Caenorhabditis elegans: one gene and its partners. The protein of the gene in region 1 purifies or fractionates together with the protein of each later gene. This does not show direct contact. Each region holds a gene or a part of one and is shown on either strand. Other genes may lie near its edges.

Evidence for each region.
Region 2: the proteins of ztf-11 (region 1) and lin-52 purify together in Caenorhabditis elegans (co-purification; one study listed by BioGRID). This does not show direct contact.
Region 3: the proteins of ztf-11 (region 1) and lin-9 purify together in Caenorhabditis elegans (co-purification; one study listed by BioGRID). This does not show direct contact.
Region 4: the proteins of ztf-11 (region 1) and rba-1 purify together in Caenorhabditis elegans (co-purification; one study listed by BioGRID). This does not show direct contact.

What each region holds. Positions count from the first base shown.
Region 1 is NC_003279.8:9,904,503-9,912,269, reverse strand, and holds the start of ztf-11 (Zinc finger protein ztf-11), read left to right. Parts: upstream 1-1,724; 5' UTR 1,725-1,742; coding exon 1,743-1,923; intron 1,924-2,834; exon of another isoform or gene 2,835-2,945; intron 2,946-4,504; coding exon 4,505-4,662; intron 4,663-4,744; exon of another isoform or gene 4,745-4,867; intron 4,868-4,899; coding exon 4,900-5,124; intron 5,125-5,936; coding exon 5,937-6,150; intron 6,151-6,418; coding exon 6,419-6,538; intron 6,539-6,747; coding exon 6,748-7,042; intron 7,043-7,092; coding exon 7,093-7,171; intron 7,172-7,526; coding exon 7,527-7,767.
Region 2 is NC_003281.10:9,823,565-9,826,374, forward strand, and holds lin-52 (Protein lin-52), read right to left. Parts: upstream 1,187-2,810; 5' UTR 1,180-1,186; coding exon 1,074-1,179; intron 1,021-1,073; coding exon 847-1,020; intron 800-846; coding exon 594-799; 3' UTR 519-593; downstream 1-518. Other genes in the region: arl-5 (ADP-ribosylation factor-like protein 5), read left to right, coding at 1-96, 145-410; ZK632.9 (uncharacterized protein), read right to left, coding at 1,561-1,561, 1,617-1,750, 1,800-1,853. UniProt on the Caenorhabditis elegans protein: Synthetic multivulva class B (synMuvB) protein. SynMuvB proteins are required to repress the induction of vulval development by Ras signaling and probably act by forming the multiprotein DRM complex that represses transcription.
Region 3 is NC_003281.10:8,899,688-8,906,072, reverse strand, and holds lin-9 (Protein lin-9), read left to right. Parts: upstream 1-1,941; 5' UTR 1,942-1,947; coding exon 1,948-2,004; intron 2,005-2,113; coding exon 2,114-2,232; intron 2,233-2,281; coding exon 2,282-2,414; intron 2,415-2,454; coding exon 2,455-3,057; intron 3,058-3,101; coding exon 3,102-3,260; intron 3,261-3,735; coding exon 3,736-4,146; intron 4,147-4,224; coding exon 4,225-4,329; intron 4,330-4,375; coding exon 4,376-4,525; intron 4,526-5,280; coding exon 5,281-5,478; 3' UTR 5,479-5,835; downstream 5,836-6,385. Other genes in the region: unc-32 (V-type proton ATPase 116 kDa subunit a 1), read right to left, coding at 35-211, 293-445. UniProt on the Caenorhabditis elegans protein: Synthetic multivulva class B (synMuvB) protein. SynMuvB proteins are required to repress the induction of vulval development by Ras signaling and probably act by forming the multiprotein DRM complex that represses transcription.
Region 4 is NC_003279.8:9,615,982-9,619,770, forward strand, and holds rba-1 (putative histone-binding protein rba-1), read right to left. Parts: upstream 2,127-3,789; 5' UTR 2,121-2,126; coding exon 1,977-2,120; intron 1,930-1,976; coding exon 1,489-1,929; intron 1,447-1,488; coding exon 1,295-1,446; intron 1,235-1,294; coding exon 980-1,234; intron 922-979; coding exon 735-921; intron 685-734; coding exon 625-684; 3' UTR 535-624; downstream 1-534. Other genes in the region: K07A1.10 (Large ribosomal subunit protein mL64), read right to left, coding at 1-201, 254-336; putative histone-binding protein lin-53, read right to left, coding at 2,422-2,935, 2,983-3,566, 3,621-3,776. UniProt on the Caenorhabditis elegans protein: Core histone-binding subunit that may target chromatin assembly factors, chromatin remodeling factors and histone deacetylases to their histone substrates in a manner that is regulated by nucleosomal DNA. Plays a role in regulating cell cycle progression.

The DNA of each region.
Region 1 (7,767 bases):
ATATGTTTTTTTTTCTAATAATGTAAATTAAAACTGATATCTAGAGTTATCTAGAGTTGCGAATTCACATATAAAGTGTTAAGTTGGTTGATAAGCATGATGCGCTTTTTTCTATTAGTATTTCTCTCTTCAAGTTGGCATTCTATATTTCACTACATTTTAAAAATACAAAAAGTAGTTAATTACTAAATTGTAGAGATAGAAATGTTACATTTGTGCTAGTTGATAATTTCTGATGAAAAAAAACATCTGTCAAAATTAAGCATTAGGGTTCAAGTCTGATAGAGTGGCTAGTTTTCCAGATGGTTACTAAACAAAAGTTGGTAGCATACACTTCCAAACTTGGTAGATCTTCCCCATTAAAAGTCCTATGATTCAAGAACCTGCTCTTTCCGTAGTAGGAAAATACGGCTTATACTTGTGGGATTTCAGTTTTAATGTTTTTCTCGATCATATAAGTAAATTTAAAAACATTTCGTTAAACGGTCTAAAATTAAAAACTGTGTACCCTTGTAAGATCTCTATCTAATAATAAGTTTAGTTTGCACTCTATTAGGTCTGCCTGTTGTCAATACAGTGACCTACATAACTTCCCAATAGTATCTATTTCTGTGTGCATAACCAATATACATTGCCACGTCATAAACGAGATCCCTCACCTTTTATTAGGTTCTCCTCTTGACCGCCTCAGAGTTTGGCTTATCTTCTGTTACATTCAAAACAAACAAAATGTAGGATAATCATTCAAATTTCTGTAATCTTCCGGTTCACACTTGAATGTGAAACTGTTACTATAGTGACAGTGAAGATATGTTTTAGGATTATGATTGATTTTGTTCAAGAAGAAGATCTACCAAACTTGGAAGTGTACACTACCTACTTTCTGGGGTAATCTAGAAATTCAGACTTTATTTGTTTTGCTTCTAAATTTTTCAACTTTGCTAGGTTGTATTCTGCTATATCAACAGATTATCAATTGGCAAGAAAATGTTTATTCATTTTTCTACCGTTTTGTAGTTAGTTACTTTTTGATATCTGTTAAAAAACTATTTGTTAGGTGAACTTGTGTAAAGTTTCAAAATCCAAAAATTATCAGTGAATCCTGAAAAATTACAATTGTGTATCGTCCATTGACAACTTTTCACATTTTCAAAATTATTATACATACAATTAGCTTCAAAAGTTTGAAAAACTCCATATCTAGACTATACTATTCATAGCTCTTTATTCAAAAGTGCCATAGACAGGTGTCGCATTACAAGTGTCTTGTCTGTACCATCTAATCTGATGGATTTGATCTCCCATACACGCGCAACGTAAACTATTATTATTATTTTCCATCCTCCCATCAAGTGTTCTCCACTGAATACCATGCACATCTAACTTTACCTAATCCCTGCTGTCCCATCTCCAATAATTCATTTCCTGCTCTTCCACACCTGCCCCCGTAAGCATTATCGGGGGCCATTGGGGTTTAACTTGGTACCCGAACGCAACCCCATTACTGTCCAAAAGAAGGCGGAGTCTCTGTATGTGCGCGGGCAATGCATGATGCCAGGTGCACCACGCCGCTAAGCAGATGGTGTCCTCCTCCAGACCGCCCTCCTTACTTTGAGTGTCTATGTGTGGTCATTCTGTGGTCCTTCTACACTTTCTTGCTACTTTTCTTGTTTGCTGAAAACTTTTTCTCTGTACCTTCTTACTATTTAAAAAATATGTTTTAGGACTTTATCTATATCAAAATGTCATCAATCTCCAACAACCCAGACTTTTCATCCATTGATCCAGCAGTTTTAATGTCATTGCTCATGAAATCTTCTGGTTCACTTCCAACACCTCCAGATACTCATTCCGATGGATCTGAATCTCCAGACTCCACAGCTTCAGATTCTTCTGATAAGAAGAGACGCCGGAAGCCAGAATGTAAGTTTGGGAAAAGTTTGAGATGTTGCTCAGCTTGTATTTCGGATACTTTGTGTTTTATATTAAAAAAAATAACTGGAGAAATTTGGGAAAATATTTAGTTTTTATTTTCATAGGTAAAATCTTTTTGATTACATGTGTCTTGGTTACTCTAAGCTTGATTTAATTCAACCAGTAAACTATAGAAAACAAATAAAAACTCGTTCACTTCTTGATAATACCAAAAACAGCTAAGATGGAATCGATGAAAGTCGTAGTCATATGGTTAAGCGGTACTTGCCCCTAAAATTCTCTACTTTTATATCGTTTATCTCAATCTTTGAACTTTTAAAAATTATTCAACAGGCAAAGTACGTGCCAAATATTTCTCTTCATTTTAATAGTTAAACATTTTGATAAAACAAAAAAAAACCCGGAATACAGTTTGTTAAAGTAAAACTCTCTCCTAGTCGGCACTTATTTGTTCTAATTTATAATTCCAGTGTGAATAGTTTTAATATTGTTTCGGTTAGGTGCTATTTGCCTAGTTTCAAAGTGTCACTAATTGTTTAATTAAGAGTGAATAGAGGATTTCCTCCTGACCTGTAAAACTTTTCTCGTGGGAAACCTTCTTTGTTCAATTCTTCTCCTCTCGTAATCCCCACTGTCTCTCTATAACTTTGCAAATGCAACTCCATCTGCCATCTGATTCTTGTGATAAAATGGATCGAAAAGATTTGGGTCTTCTGACCCTACTCGTCATCATCATTTGTTTTTGGATTTTTCAATATTTTCCAACTCTTTCAACTACAACCCGGGTTGATCTAGTGTCGCAACGTCAAATCGCATTATGTTGTAGTCGTTTTGACTTAGATTTGAGAAAGAGAGCCATTTCAAAGTCAGAAACTTCACTTTCAAATTATTTTTTTCTCCTTGCTCCCTACAAGACTTTCTAGATAATTTTTCTCTTCTCGTCAAATAGTTTTTTCTCGTACTATTTACTAGTACTATTATATGGTCAAAATCTAAATATGGCCACCCCGTAAGCACAGTGTGACTGGGAGACACCGACAGCTGCTCAAACAGGGAGCTCTAGTACTTTTCCATGGTCAGCAGTGATATAGATGCTTCTACGAATGACCAATATGTAAGCTTAAAGTTTAAACAGCCGCCACACGCTTTTTACTTTTTACCATTCAATTATTTCGGCTATTCGAGTGAGTGAGTGTCGTGACCTTTAAATCCAAAATCCAAAATCTTTCCCCCCTTAGAAGTTGTCTCCTCTTAAAAGTACCCCTCCATCTGTCGCCAGATGTTCTCTACAGACCGCCAGCACTTTGTTTTTTTGTTTGCTAAAAACTTTCCTTTGAAATTCAAAATGCCTCCCATACAAAGTGCATCGGCTTCAATTAGCTGGAATTTTATATATTTTATATATTTTTCAACGGCACCATACCGTAATTTTGGGCAATCATTCTGCAAAACTTTTTCTTTATTGCTAATCAAAAAATGAAGACTTCTTGTCATATCACCTTTTTTGGTTGCAGATGGCTGGCAGAAACTGACTTATAAGTCGATGTTTTACACACCGATTTGTAGTATCACCTTTGCGTCACTTTTTGGAGATTTGATTTTTCTAGGCAGTAAGTAGCTATATTTAGCCAACTGAATCACTTTTCGTACAAATTTTCGGTTTTTTAACTCCAAAAGTTAATTTTAAAAAGTTACTGATAAAGGTGACAATGGGCCACAGTGAGTCGATAAGTTACATAATCAAAAACACCTCAAAATGGCTATGTAAACAAATTTCCTTCTGTTCATTAAAAAATCTCAAAAAGACACCGCCAAGTTGTCACTTCCTTCCATTTTCCGGTCCATAATTGTGCGAATTGTGCTCTGCTTCTGGTTACATCATGACCATCTCCGAAAAACGGGCGGTCCACTTCAAAAACATCATAGGGCGCGCTTCGGCTCATTGGTTACTTCCTTTTCTCAATCAAAAGCTTCCCACTTCTATTGTAGTTTTTTTACCGCAAGTGATCTCTAACAGAGGGGAGAAGTCCTGCATCATTAATTATACATTCATTGCGTTCTCTTTAGTCACCGCTCTATCTGGAACCATTTACATGACATATGGTGGTAAGGTGGTAAAGATTAGGGAAGAGTTAGGAAAATTGTAGAATGGGAAAATGAGGCATATGGGTAGATTACTGTAGTTGACAGTCATGATGGATTGGCTGAAACTTTTCTGACAGTACCTGAGGCCTACGCCTGCCGCATACCTAAATTGATAAATGTAGCGAAATAGAAAATTATTCAAAAGTGAATTTTTATGAAACAAATGCTGGCGACCAAAGGAGCTTCAATTTTCAACTCCCTGAAAAATATCTGGCCTCGGAAATTTGAACTTGATCTACTGAAACTTCTCTTCTTGGGATTTACCCCTACTTAGCTAATGCATCTCTCATCTCAAATATCAGAATCTTACGAGTTGACAGATGTTCTTGTACTCATCTCCTCATGTTGCTCTACCTATTCATTAGAACTCCATACATTACCGCTCCATCATTACCCTTCACATCATGACTTTTGCTCATTACAGCTAAAGACATTGTCCGTGTTGCCGAAGAAGCCGAAGCCGCTGCTGCCACGTGTTCATCGATTCCATCATCTTCAGATACAAAAGAAAACGAAACAGAAGAAGATCAGAATATGACTTGTGACACGACAACAAACAATGCACAGAAACCAACTGAACAGGTTAGTAAAATTTAGTGTTCGGTTTTGAAATCGAATCGGCAATTAAATATATGATGTGTCCTTGGATGGTCTTAAAAGGACGCAAAAGACAGCTGACAGGGCCTAGAGAGAGCACCTGTTCCATCGTTCCGAACTATTACCTAACAACTTTTTTATGCTTCCGAAGAAGAACATGTGCCTGTACATCTGTCTGAGATCCTTTGAGATAACATCTTCATTCATTCCATTCACTTTCAGACCGCCACCTCCGCAGATGTCGTCACCTCATCAGTTCCAAGTGGCCTCGAAGGAGTTCCGTCGTTCCTCTTCTCGCAATTTATGGCTCCATCCTTCCAAAAACAGCTTGAAATTTTTACATCAGGAAATATGATGAGCGCCACACACTCTGACACATCACCTTCCGATGTCGACTCAGTTTTGGATGGTGGTGTCGTGACAGCAGAGGAGACGTCGTCGTCAAAGGTGAGAAGCCAAAGAAATTTGCATTTTGAGTGAAAAGAAGTGAAGTGGGAATGGGGGGCACACGGTAGAGAAAAGTGACTTGTTGCATATTTATGAACTCACATTGACACATATTGAAATTGGGAATGGCAGCTCAACTTGGGAAATTATTTCAAAATTTTGAAAATTTAAGTGAGAAGTTTCAAGGGAAACTGGTAGTTTTGCAATGCCTAGCTTAACGAAAATTAGGGTCATGTCTTCGAGGAAATTTTGGGAAGTTCCGGAAAATTTTTAAAAATTTTTAAAAATCATCTGGAAGGTCTTGGAAGAACCGAGCAACTTTGAAAAGTCGAAACTGTTTCGAAAGGTTTCAGAAAGAAAAGCTGGAGAAACGTTTGAAAAGTTCTAGGAGGTTCAAAAATCTTCTGGAGATTTTAGAAAATTAGGAAAACTTCTGGAATTTTCTATAAGATTTAGGAAAGTTCTCAGGAAAATTCACGGAACTTTTGGAAACTCTATTAAATTCAATTGTTAAAGCGAGTACGGTAGATCAAATTTCTTACAACTCCTCGGACCACCTAGTTGGTAGCAATGACTTGAAATAACAAGTTGCTGGTCACGCAAGGGCTTCCAACTTTAATTATATGTCAAAACAGACACAAAACACCTTAGAACCCAACGGATGACATTGCGTGACCAATGACACTGCCGCCTCACCGATTGTTCTTACTAGGAGTAGTAGTAGTAAAGAGTGAGACTTGCCAACTTTGATGGATTACTATTATTGTTTTTCTTCGTTTCATATCTTTTTTACCAAAAAATACGATTTTCAGAGCCCAATGATGACATCGTCGGATACTCCAAAGACTCCATTAACTGCTTCAAGCCCACCACACTCATCTGGATCAGAATCTCGAGTTATGTCTCCAATTACACATACAAATATCAGTGATGAACTTTCAATCTCTACAACTCCAACAGTTGCATTTACTCCAAACGGATCAATTCCATCACCTGGTACTGGTTACTCATGGAGCATCAGACGTGGTAAGGACTTTTTGAACAGAAAGTTGGGACCCTACAGTAATCCTCTGAAGATATTTCAGTTGAAAATCAATCTCTAACCCCAACTTACTAACCACTAATTCCCCCATTCTGAGTTTTCTTTCGAAGAATATCAAAAAATAATAATCCATTTGGGAGGGATAAAATGAGTGCACTAACCACAAAATAAACTAATCCCCTCACTTACCACTCCACTCGCACCGAATCACATGAAATTCCATTTGGAGCGGTACTAAGTCCCAACTTTCAGAAGGCAAACTGGCTTGTCCAACACCTGGATGTGATGGATCAGGACATCAGACAGGACTCTACACTCATCACAGAAGTTTGTCCGGATGTCCACGTAGACCAGACAAGACTGTTATCCAAAGTAAGTTTAAATTGAAACTAAACATAAATCTTAGCTGGCTGTGAACTTGGAGCAACAAGTAAACTAGCTCATTAATCTGGTAAAAAGAGCTTAAGATAAATGAGCTCTCATGCATTTCATACTTACTTTGAAGCCAATACTTGTAGCAGTAGCAAGAGCCAAAGATTGATGACTTTTCCCACTCACTCACTTACTTTTCCCGTTTGCAGTGCTTGCTCTCCGACAAGACACCGTGCTCCGATGCACCACAGCCGGATGCTCTGGAAAGGGACATGTCAATGGAAATAGAACATCTCACCGTAGTCTCTCTGGTTGTCCAATTGCCCATCAGGAAAAGCTTGCACGGAAGGGAATTAAGACAACACCACAACGCACGAAAACTCCAATTAAGGGAATCAGTATTTCTGATGAATGTCCACTTGACTTGACACTTTCTGGACTTCCAGCTGGATTGTCAGCTCAGCAATTGTTGGCTGCAGCACAAGCAGGACTCATTCCATCAAGGTATTCTATTTCATTCTCAATAAACAGTTTCTATAAAATTGAATTTTCAGTCAAATGATGGATGCTCTCTTCCAACAATTCTCTCAAACACAACCACTTGCTACATTGGAAGAGGAGTCAAAGAAAGAGGTACAATAATTTATAACATTTGATTCTGAGAAGTTTTTAATTGAGGAATATTTGTACTCTCTGAAAATAATTTTATTTAAAAGTTTTGGGAAAATGCTCATAAAAATTACTTTAAAGACCTGAAAAACTTTCTCAAACTGTCCTTTACCGAAAAAAAATTCTAAGACAGTTTTTTGGTAAATGACAACTTCCTCCAGTTTCCAAATTTCCCAAGAAAATGAAGATTATTTCCGAATCAATCAGATATTTTTCCATTTTTCTATATTAATTTTTGATCCGAAATGGGCAGTTGTGAAGATTTGAAAAACTTACCAAAGTCACTTTATCTTTTAATCTTAACGGTAATTTATTTCAGAACGAGATGGAAGTTGACGTTGAAACAACATCAGATGATATTCCAACTCTTATTAAAGAAGAAGAAGAAGTTAAATGCGAGTCACCTGTTCCATCCGTGATCCCAGAGATTCAATCAACACCATCAAGACCTGTTGCTGCTCCAGTTGCTCCTGGCTCCGCGGAAAAGAGCTCCCCAACATCTCAAATGCTCCTTCAAATGCCTGGATTCTCGGAGGCTCTTCTCAAAATGACTGCCCCAC
Region 2 (2,810 bases), on another chromosome or scaffold:
GAAATTTAGATTTTGTGATCTGGGATATTGGCGGGCAGGAGAGTCTACGAAAGTCTTGGAGTACTTATTATGTTCAAACAGATGTTGTTATAGTTGGTATGAATAACTTTTAGTAAATGATATTAAAATTAAAATTATTTTCAGTTATTGACAGTTCCGACACCACTAGGATTCCAATTATGAAAGAACAACTGCACAATATGCTTCAACATGAAGATCTTGCTCGTGCTCATATTCTGGTTTTGGCCAACAAACAGGATCTGCCCGGAGCAATGAATCCAGCAGAAGTATCCACACAACTCGGTCTCCAGACATTACGAGGTGCTCGGAAATGGCAGATAAATGGATGTTGTGCTGTGAAAGGAGAAGGATTGCCGGAAGCTCTCGAATGGATTGCCAACAATTTGTAGAAACGTTTATATTTATAAATTTCAAAAATTGCCTTAAACTTTGCCAGCCTCGTTTTTTAAACTCTCACTGTGAGATTATGTGATTTGCCAACTTTCTAATTGTGCTCTGTTAGTAATCAAGTTTATTCATGTGAATGTTAATGAATGATGAGATCATTATTTTTTGATAGACCACTATTCAATTCACTGGCTTCCTGTCGTTTCTTCCGCTACATTTTTCGGTGGTGTTGGCTGCAAATATCTCGGAGAAGCCGAGCCAGTGGGTTTCAGCACGTTGAGCAACTTTCCACGTCGGCACTGGCGAGCTTCTTCGATTCCAAGAGTGTACACCGAGTTTTGAATGTTTCGGATGAGCTTGGCGATATCGTCGGCTGGGCAGTGGCTCATTGCTGAAAGTTAAAAATTGAAATGAATATGGAACAATATGAATACGAACTATTAACAGTCACAGCATCTTCCTTGAGAAACGAAATATTCTTGTATGGCGATTCGTAACCTTTTGATACTGATTCGCTTTGAAATGCTTCTTCAAAATCGAGACATTTCATTGGAACTGGCTCACTTTCTTCTGGCATTGTTTCGGTGCATTCGAGCATCTTTTTCTGTTGTTCTGAAAATATTTAAAATTCGAAGAATCTTTCTTTTCTACAATATAATACCAACCAAGCATTTTCGCCTGTTCTGCGTTTGATTTCTTTTCGATCATTTGTTGGACGAACATTTCGTCATCTCCAAATTCGTATCCAATAAATCCTAGCGGACGCGACATTTTTTTCCTGAAATTACCGCTATATGTCAGAATTTAAATGTTTAGAATTGAGTAAGTATAGAGCTTGTGACGAATTAAACGTTAGGCCGCAATGAAGTAATTGTATTGATTTCTTCTTCTAAAAAATAATTCTCACAAAACAAATATTTATTTGATGTGAACAAAAACGGGATGTGAAGAAAATTACTCGGGAATTTACAATAAAATACAAAAAAAAATCGATTGCTAGACAGCCTAGCCGGTGGGTACTTTACAAATTTTAAATTTACACAATACGGTTAAAAATAATGAAGAAACGAGAAACAAGGTAAAAAACATGAATCAGTGGGCAGTCGGTGGTGGAATAGAGAAATAGTGTCGGGCAGTCACATGAAGAATGATTCTGAAAAATCAAAAATAGGAACATGGTCCGCAAACACGGTAGCATATTAACGCACCACTTCTCTTTTCTCTTTGCCTCTCCGTTGCTGGCGGTTTGAACAACCTTGCGAGTGTCCCCTCCTGGCTGAGATGCGTGCTTGTGCTCCACTCTGTCAGACTTGGTGCGCTTTCCGCTTCCAGTGGTGAGATCCTAAAATTGAAATTATTCAGTTTAAATACAATATATGCATTGCACTGACCGGTCCTCCGGTTTGCTCGAATGCGGCAGCCATTTCTTCAGCAGTCGACGACATCTCGTTGGTAATTTTCTGCAACAAAAAATTATTATAAAGCTTAGAGACGTGTAAGCAACACAAAAATGAGAGAATGAACCGACACAAGAATGACCAAAACAAGTGTTATCAAAGTGAAATGGACGATGATTGGCAGTTGCATGATTAGAAAGAAGTAGGCAGAAAAGGGAGGAGAGTGCCAAGAAAACAAAACTGTGAAAGAACCGATTGAATAGCATTTGAAACGATTGGAGTGTGTTTATTTGAAGGACGATAGTGACAAATCTAAATTTTGGCGCGCGTAGTGTTGACGAAGATCAAATCTATTTACAAGTGTAAATGTTTAAAATCGATAATTTGAAATTTTCGATTAGGAATAAGGCTGAAAAGTATTTAAACAAAGCTTCAATTGAGAAATACCAGAAAAATTCGTTAAAAATTTTCAACGAGTTTAAAGGAGGGCGCATTTGTGTGGAATTTGTGTGGCGTAGAGATTTCTTTATTGATTTTTCTCGTTTTTTTTTTTTAATATTCTGACTTATATTGCGTTTATCAGCCATAATAAATGTTAAAAAGGTCGAAAATGAGAAAAATCAATGGAGAATGAAAAACAACTCTAAATGAGAGTGCGTTTTTGTAGAAAAGCTCTACAAAAGTGAGAAATAAAGTAACGTTTTCAGGCTTTTTTTCAAGAATAGAAATCTGCCTGAATATTTTTAGCGAATCAACAGCAGACGGACAGTTTCATTCAAATACTCGTATTTATACATTTGCGTTGGCGCCAGAGACACGTGATGGATAGACGAGCGGAGACCATCGAAAAAAGTAAAAATGAAAAGAGACGCAGAGCAGCACATTTTGAGGGCTGACTTGTTTCTGCTAGATATATTGGTGCGGTGTCATCGAAGGCACAGAACAAAAAGAAAAAAGAAGCAAGAAAGAAAAAAAAGAAACGAACAAACAAGACAAAAAAAATAA
Region 3 (6,385 bases), on another chromosome or scaffold:
ATATTTATATACCTATATTTTTTTTTCAACAAACCTCCAAATCAATCATTTCTCGTGGAAGTGGAGCATCTGGATTCTCACCAGTATCCAGCATCGGGATCTGATCTTTTTTAATTTCTCGTTCAAGATATCTCAATTTTCGTTCCATTTCATCACACCGTCTGACTTCATTTACATATTTTCGTTGGAAGGAGCTCACATCGGGATTAAGCTGAAAATTAAAATAAATTGAAGTTTTACTTTTTTTTAAAATTATTAATTGAAAATAGTTTTTTACATATCACAAACTCACATCACGAAACTGAACAAGTCCGAGCTCTCCCAGTTCAGCAACGCATTGATAGGAAGCATCAGATTGAAGGTAGAGTTGAGCCAGGCACATCTGCTCACTTCGATAGATGCCCGGTTGTGGTGGCTCCTCGCCGGGAGTCACGTAATCACCCATTCTAGTTGATTCTGTAAGAATTTCCATGAAATAATATGAAGATTTCAAAAATAAGAAGGAAAAAAAAATCAAAAACGCTTCTTTCGAGAGAAAACATTTAAGAAAAGCACGAGGCTAGGAGCGAAGGCCTCAGGACCGAAGACCAGATATTGACGGAGAGGGATCGATACGGAGCAGCACTGAGCAAGAAGAGAGCATGCGCTCAAACGTGCTCCATTGGAATATCATGAAAAAAGGGAGAGAAATCTAGAAAAAACTAAAGAAACAATTTGCGCAATCTAATCGATCAGCCGACACGTCATCGACATTAGAGCGTAATTCTCCAGGATCTAATAGCTAGACGCAGAGAAATAAACTTTCAGATGGCGAATAAGAAAACCTAAAGGAGATGAGGAAGAAATGAACAGGACAGGTTTTAAAAGAAAGAAAATGTCTGATTGTCTGCCTCATTCACCGCAATGTTTGAACACTGAAACCATTTGTAAGCAGTGTTATAGGATGGAGAAACGTAAACATTGGGCGACTCACATTTCGTGGATATTATGAAATTCAATCGATTCGATCAAAAGGTTGAGAGAAATGAAATAATTGTAGAGCAGTGGGGGAGATTGAGTGGTGATAACGCGAAAAAACGATAAGATTACGCTGCGAGAGGTCAACTTTGCACAAAAACTTCAATTTTGATGCGGAAATTGTATTAAATTTAAGAGAATTGTTTCTTTGCAAAAAGATTTTATAAATAGTGTTTCAAAGTAACATCAAACCATAGAATCCAGATCCAGAACGAAAAACGCTGACTAAAAACACTAAAGAAGAATATTGCTTTGAAGAAAAAACCTGTGAGATGTTTTCGGAACAAAGATGAGTGATTGAAGACGAAATATTTTTAATGAAAAGTTTATTCTACAATTTTAAAACTTTGCGGCCAAAATAAATTTTGGTAAACACTTAGTAGGAATGAACAATTTTATAATGTTTCTTGCCAATAAGGAGAGAAATGAATCATGAGAATGGAAAGAGAAGAACAATATAAACAAAATAATTCGTTTTAAATGCGGAAAGGAAGAAAAAAACATGTTTCACCGCATGATCTTGTGTAAAACCATGTTTAAAATTTAATGATAACCCAGGAAAGATGGAAAATCAATACAAATAAGAAATAAAACAAATAAAAAAAAAAAAAAAACTTTCACGAGAAAATCCAAAAACGGAATGTCACGACGTTCGACTGTCAAACAGCAGCTCTCCCTTTTTTCCGTTTCCCACCACATTCACTTCTCTCAGCTGTGTTCTGTTTTCCAACAGACAGCGCTCCACCGTACCTCGCTACACTGCCGCAGGGCAATCGCGTCGAGACCATCACGCTGTTTGAAATCGGCTGTTGGTTGGGGAAAAGAACCGCCATTTCAAAGTTTTTTTCGCGCGCGCGCGTCCGCATTCTTTCATTGATTTTTGTCTCGTGGTCTGAAATTATTCAAAAATTTGTTATTTTTCAGATAAAAATGTCGTCTGCGGTGAGAAGTCCGCGGAAAAAGGCAGCAAGTGACACGTCTGATCCTGTAAGTTATTGGAAATATTGATTTTATTGGGTTTTCGTGTTTTTAAAAATAAAGAAGTTGTAAATTAAAGAAAGATATTGAAAGTATGCATGACATTCGGTATTTTCAGGATCGCACCAGCTCACCATACAGTCTCCGTGAAACATCTAAAGTTCCATCGAGATATCGTAATGAAGAACTATACCTATCACCGTCTCGCAGTATCAAACGTACCGGATCTCCCAAAAAGTAACAAGCTGTTCCGAAAAAGTGGCCGACTAATCTTATGATTTTACAGATCTCCCGCGAAACGCCTGAATGGAGGTAGAGATTCTCCTTCAGTGAACTCATTGACCCGAAACTCAAGTCTAACAATGCTCGCAAAGGCAGCTCTTGATTATGAATCTTCCAGTTGTGCTTTGGAATATATTGTAAGTTTTAAAACAATTGTATTGTTGTCATGTCTCCAAGTTCCAGCCAAAAGAAGAACGACGCCCTCCACGCAGAGCTCTTGCTCTGTCTCCGCCTCCAGCACCAAGTAATGATCTTCTCGCAAAGGATCTGGAGATGATTGAGATGCATCAAAACCTTGTAGCAGGTCTTGATGATTTAGATAATCCTGCGAATATGACAAATGAAGCTGTAGAACATCGAGATACACAGTCATTCTTCAACATGTTCAGTACAGATCAAGAACGAAGTGCCATGATGAAACAATTCAAAACGTATAAAAATCAAACAAGTGAAGATGTGAGCACATTTATGAGAGCTAATATAAAGAAACTCTACAATTTGCTCCGATATAAGAAAGCTCGTCAATGGGTCATGTGCGAGTTCTTCTATTCTGCAATCGACGAACAAATTTTCAAAGAAGAAAACGAGTTTGCCACAATTATCCGCGAATCTTTCCCAAATCTGAAAAATTGGAATTTAACGCGTATTGAGTGGCGGTCGATTCGAAAACTTCTCGGAAAGCCACGTAGATGCTCGAAAGTGTTTTTTGAAGAAGAAAGAATGTACCTGGAAGAGAAAAGAATGAAGATTCGAAGTGTCTATGAAGGAAGTTATCTTAACGTAAGGCTGAAGAGGTGTATCATTTTCAATAAATGTTCTTTCAGGATCCATCGATTGATCTAAAAGATCTTCCAGCCAAGCTTCCACGTCCAATGGTGGTTGGAAATCGTGTATTTGCGAGAATTCGAAATCCCTACGATGGAATTTATTCTGGAATTATTGATGCTGTCATTCCGAAAGGATTCAGAATTATTTTTGACAAGGTTTGTAAAAGGAGACTCAATATCACCCAAAACGCCCGAATTTTGTAACGAGATGTCTTAAAATTTCGCCACAAACCTATTTTCAGCTAAATTCGTGAACTTCGCCAACTTGTCCATTTTGTACATGCTGGAATGCAATTCTTATTGCATTTTCAACAGTTATTGCATATTTTAGTGGTTTATTTCGCTTTAATTCTATGATTTAGGATCACTTTAAGTCGATAGACACCAAAAATATCAAAGTAGGATTCTTATCGACTTAAAATGTGCTCAAATCATCGAATTACTACCAAAATATGCAATAAAAAGTGTTAGGAGAAATTGACAAAATTTAATGATTTAGCTGAAAATAGGAAGTCTTTGGAAATTAAGACGTCCTATTACTATATTCGGTAGTTTTGGATCATAAATTATTTTGTTTTAGGGAAATTTGAATATTTGAAATTCTATAAATTCCAATGTTTTATTCTTTCAGCCAGATATCCCACCAACACTGGTTAGTGACACGGAAATACTTCTCGACGGAAAACTTGATTTGTTGAGTATCGCCTACTTCATTGAACAAGCCAACTCTAAGCTTCCATCAGGCGTTCGTCCATTTGTAGCAGCAGTTCGTGACTCATCACATCCACATCTTGTTCGTGACGTCCTGGTTTCTCGAAAAATCGAGAGAAGTGGTGGACCATTAATGGGACCGAACGACGAACGATTAAATGGAAAAAATGCAGAAATGGTTGGAAATTTCCCGCTGAAATTCCTTGTGAATCTTGTGAAACTGACGAAATTAATTGATATCAAAAAGGGATTGATACGACAATTGAACGAATTGAATGCGGATGCCGAGATACAAAATATGACGTCAGACAAATATTCGAAAGCTTTTCAGGTACATTTTTAATTAGAAATTTTTTTTGATATATGAAAAAGTCAACTAGATAGAATCTAAAAAACAATTTTTTTTCAGGAGAAATACGCCAAAACTATCATCGATCTGGAACATGTGAATCAGAATATAGATATCAATATGAATGGAATTCAAGATCACCATATGTATTTCTCTTCGAATGATGTAATTTTTCATTTCCTGATTCTTCGAAAGATCTATTTGTTTGCAGATTTCAACGTCAAATATGAAACCTGAAGCAGTTAGACAAATGTGCTCTCAACAAGCTGGAAGATTTGTAGAGCACTGTAATCAAGGATTAAATGTAGAGAATGTGCATGCGTTGACACTTATTCAATCATTGACAGCTGTCCTTTTACAGGTTTGTGGCACTATAGACTGCAGAATAATAATTTATTAATGAAAAAAAAAATTGAAAATGTAAAAATTCATTAGAAAATAAACTTCGGTTTTTACCAAATCCTCTTTCCTAATTTCATTATGGGACGATGCAAGTGAATTTCTCGTCATTTCTCGACACATTTTTTGCAATGCAAGTGTGCGGAGAAATGACGAGAAATGTCGTGAAATTCGCAATTTCTACGCGTTTCTCGACATATGAGATGTGTCCTCGCAGGGTGGTAAGACATTTCACCCTGTTAAAAGTGCGGTGAGTAGGCGGAGTTTCCTGCGGGGACACATGTTTCTGCGTATCTCACCGTTCATCATATGTCGAGAAATGCGGAGAAATTGCAAATTTCACGACATTTCTCGTCATTTCTCCGCGCACTTGCATTGCAAAAAATGTGTCGAGAAATTACGAGAAATTCACCACGTGTTTTCAGCTCGACCATTCGGTGTAATTTGTGCAAACACCGTCACGCGCTGCGGTGAAATTCCTCTTGGCGAATTCAAATATTTTTTCCCGCCTTTTTTGAAAATTTTCGAGGCGTTGGTCGAGCTGAATACACGTGTTCACTTGCATCGTCCCATTAGAATTAATTACAAATTACTATTTTACAAAAAAAAAACTAAAATTGTTTCCTAGAATTCAAAATTACCTGGTCATCGGTAAAACACTATTAAAAAATTTTTTTACTGCAGAAAAATATTAGAAAAAATATTATATTTTTCCAGGTTCGCACAATGGGAACTCAAAAGATCTCTGCAGTTGATCTTCAATCACTTGGTGACGCCATATCTGAAATTCGGACCGCTATTCACCCCCGCAACGTGGCATTCTTCCAAGACTACGTTGAAGTTCATATGAAACAATTTCACACAATTATGCTCGAAAGTGGAGCACTAGCTGGAACTGTATCGAACAGAAAATAACTAAAAGCGTCTCATTTTGTCCAAAAAAACGCCAACCGGTCCCGTCAGTTTTTGTTTTTCTGAATATTCTCAGTTCTCTCATCTCTGCTCTCTCTCTCTCCCCACCTTCTTCAATCACTTTGTGTCTTTTCAAAATTGTACCCGATCATGAGACACATCCCCATTTTTCTTATTTTTTAAAAGTAGTTCAACCTTGATAATTCGAATGTGCCAAAATTCTATTTTCTTCCTCATTGTCATCATCATCATCATCAGTTTTCGAGAAAAACGAGCCAAATAACGAAACCCTTGTCAGTTATACTCCACTATTTTTTATTTTACTGACTGTCTAGAAAATAAATAAAATTTTAAAGTTTCAGGTGAATTTTCATTTTATTATGTTTGCCAGCGGTGAGAAGATATTAGCCCGGACACAAAAGTGAGCGCTAAAAGTACGGTAACTGGTCACGACAAATGTCTGTTAAATACAAACGGATGTGCGCCTTCAAAGATTACTGTAGTTTTAAACTGTCTTTGCTGCGTAATTTTGATCAATTTTTATAGTGTGTTGCGCGCCTTGCTTCGTATTTGAATTCCATTCGCATTTTTTGCTGTTTTGCTGCTAATTTCTTTATTAAATTTATCACGAATGCGTTATTTCGGAGCTTCGTTGTTTCGTTTGAAAGTAAAAATAAAAATAGGAGGAATCGTGGCGAGACCCGCTCCCTACGAAATCTCATGTCCCTTTAACTTTTTGCGCCAAAAAACGAATTTCAATTTTTTTAAAAGTCATTTTTAGCTTTTTTTCTTAATTTTCTTATTTTTTAACAAAAATTTCACTGAAAACCGACAAAAATACATTTAAAACTGTTTAAAAAATTTGAAAAAATAGTTAAAATTTAAAAAATTTCTGTTAATCTTTTATGAA
Region 4 (3,789 bases), 290 kb from region 1:
GCATTATTAAATTCTCTGAACAATCCAATGGCTTCTTCTTCCTCAATTTCTTCAGCTGTTGGGAACAGCTCTTCAACTGGTACACCACTTTTTAGACCATATTTTCCGAATCTTTCACGACGAGATGCTCGTTCACGCTCAGAATCAAATTGAACCGGTGGCATCCCACCAGCAGCAATGATTCGATGACGGGGACGTAGACTAAAAAAATGTTTTTTTTTGTTTTTTGAACATGCAAAAAATGAAAACTCACAAACTAACATCAACCTTCGGAGCGATTTCCTCACTTGAATTTGTTGCAAAACTTCTTACCAAAAGTCTCCAATTTCTCAACATTTTCTTTCTGGATAACCTTGAAATATGTTTAATCAATATATTCCTTATCGTAAGAAAATAAGCAATGTAAACCGACTAAACATGGTTTCGCAAGTGCGCCCCATTGTGAACACACTATTTTTCAAAGTAAATATTTAGTGGCAGAGAAAACCTGAGAAATTAATTCTGAATAGATGAACACAATATGAAAGAAAATGAAAAAACGTTCATTGATAGGAATGTGATTTTTACATTCAAAGATCAGAAGTGAGAAAATTAGTAAAATTCGACAAAGTGCAATTTAGACGATTAAATCATTTCGGTCTCCCATTTTTCCGACGAAACTAAACTGTTTGAAACTTCCCACACCTGAAAAACCATTAAATAGTTATGATTAATTTTTTGAAAATAATTCTTGCCTGTAATGCATTAAATTCGTCGCTGCTGCAAATAGTCCATGGGCGGTTGGGATTCCAAGAGAAATCTGCAACTTTTCCAGTATGCCCAGCGTGAATAAAAATAACTTCTGGTGGAACAGAATCAGATGATGCAGCTGATGAAGACGATGGGTCTTGAATTTTAGAAATATCCCAAACGATAACCCGACTGAAATTTTTGAAATTTCATAGGTTAAACAAATACAACTTATTAGGAAAAAACTTACTCATCCGATCCACTACTAGCCAGAACAGTTTCATAATGCGGGCTGAACGATACTTGAAATATTTCGTCGTTGTGATGTTTCAGCGTGTACATTTTTTTGCGCATATTCCTCATATCCCACAAAGCAACCGTTTTATCAACAGATCCGGTTGCTAAAATGTATTCGGAAAACGGATTGAAAGTAATACAATTAACTTCTGCAGTATGTCCGACGGCTGTGAGCTGTGGCTTTGATTGACGCAGATCCCATAGGTTTCTAAAGACGTGAAAATTATTTTGAAATCTCGACAGAATGGTATGATGTATTTATACTTACAGTTTTCTATCATCTCCAACAGATCCAAAAACGAAATTATGGAGCGCGTGAAAAGAAACATCCTCCGCATTTGATGAATGACCTTTAAACTTGCTTTGTGGCACTATTTGACCGGAAATGGTCTGATTCGCGTTTATATCCCAGTGGCAAATCTTAAAAAATGTATATTTATGTATATCTTTTGTTAGAAATACCATTCCGTCATCGCCGGCAGTTAGCAAATGTCCCTCTCTGGTGTTGCTCCACGACATTCCATATCCTTCGCCTTCATGGCCTTTCAATCGCAATTGAGGTCGAAATTTGGTGTCTTTTGGTTCAGATGGGTGCTTCGTGTAGTCGAAAATATAAACGTCATCAGAAGGACCTCGACTTGCAATAATGAAAGGATTATGTGGCATGTAACGTGCCCTATGAACTTCTCCTGGATGGTTGATTTTAATCTCAGTATCCCATTTTGCAGCGCTGCCCTCTCCATAACCTCCGAACTCTTCACGTTCCGAATCCCATTTAGCGTCGTCGAATTCTGGTGTGTCTGTCGTTATTGTGAACTTTGAGATCATGAGATGATTCTGAACTCCTCCACAAGTATGTGTTCCATGAATCATTCGATGCATCGATGAATCCGAGTTCTCTGTCTTAAAAAAATAATGAAGAAGGCGAAATCATATTTACCGATTCTTACTTTTGTGACATCAGGCATCCATTGCACTGATAAAGAAGGCCACTCGACCTCTTTTGTGACGACTGTATCGTAGAGATATGGAACATTTTTCTTCCAAATTCTATGTTCTTTACTCGTTTCTTCACACGATTCAGCTTCACTCATTGTGCTCTGAAATTGCCTGAAATAACAAAAGATACAACAAAAAACCAAAAATATCACAATCTGAGCTATCACAACAATCACGTTAACATAATATTTCAAAACAGTTATCTGACAATGGTCATCGAATTTATTTCAGGTTCAACAAAATATGATCATATCTCAAGGTAACATTTTAACTTTAAAAACTTAGTTGGTGAAGAATATGCGTTTGAATAAATGGTAAGATGAACAATTTGTTGAGATGCAAAATTAAAGAAGGATAGAAGTTAAATACAAATAATTTAAGCGCGTTTCACGTATTTTACTGTTGTCTCTCTACCACATCGGCTGGAGTTTCTTCGTCAACTTCGTTGTATATGTTATCAGCCATTTGCCACACTTGGAGAATATTGTCTTCTGACACACTGCACACAACCCAAGGCTCGTTCGGGTTCCACGAGAAATCGCTGATCTTGGCGGTGTGCCCACCGTGAATAAACAACAGCTCTGGTGGACCATCTTCCGCGTCTTCGGCAGATTGGTCTTCTCCAATCTTAGATAGGTCCCACACATGAAGACGTTTATCAGTACCGCTGGATGCAAGAATAGTCTCGTTGTGTGGACTCCACTGAACTTGGAAGATTTCATCACGATGTGATTCAAATGAGTGAAGTTTCATTCGTAGATTACGTAGATCCCAAAGAGCGACAGTTTTATCAGCTGATCCGGTGGCCAGAATGAATTCGGAATATGGATTGAATGCGAGACAGTTAACTTCGGCAGAATGAGCATCGATACAGTGTCCAGGAGTGCTTGTGCGCACATCCCAAATGAGCCTATAATTTTTAATTAGTTAATAAATAGAAAAAAAACAAAAGCTTACAATTTCTTATCGTCACCAACCGATCCGAAGACACCATCATGCAAAACGTGCCAAGCAACATCTTCAACGACTGACTCGTGACCTTTGAAAACATCCTTCGCTTGCAATTCCCCGGCAACATTCTGATTTGCGTTGATATCCCAATGACAAACTGTCTGATCATCTGACGCTGATAGAATCAAACCTTCTTTGTTTGGATTCCATGATAATCCATAGCCTTCCTTCGTGTGTCCTTTCAGTCTGATAAGCGGATTGAACGTGTTATCACGAGGAACAGCAGAGTGCTTTAAATAGTCGAAAATGTAAACATCAGCATGTGGAGACTTTGTAGCAATGATATTCGACTTTTGAGGCATGTAACGAGCTCTGTTAACCTCCCCTTCGTGGTTAATGCGAATATCGGGTTCCACTTTTCCGTTAACAGCTCCGAAACCACCGTATTCACTGCGCTCGGTATCGTAGCGAGATGCATCAAATTGGGCATCATCCGTTGGCATACAGATCTTAGAAATAAGCAAGTGATTCTGCTCATCTGAAGTATGAGTTCCAAGAATGAGCCGATGAATAGTATGGTCGCTGTTATCCTAAATTATTTGAATTCACTTCATGAAAGTTGTGAATTATATGAGAACACATACCTTCGCAACGTCTGGGAGCCATTGAACACTGAGTGAAGGCCACTCAAGCGCATGTGTCATTACGAGATCGTACAAGAACGGGGTGTTCTTTTTCCAAATTTTGTATTCATCATTTGCGACGCGATCTTCGGAGGTTCCATCTTCAAGAGTGGCCATTTCCTGAAATTTT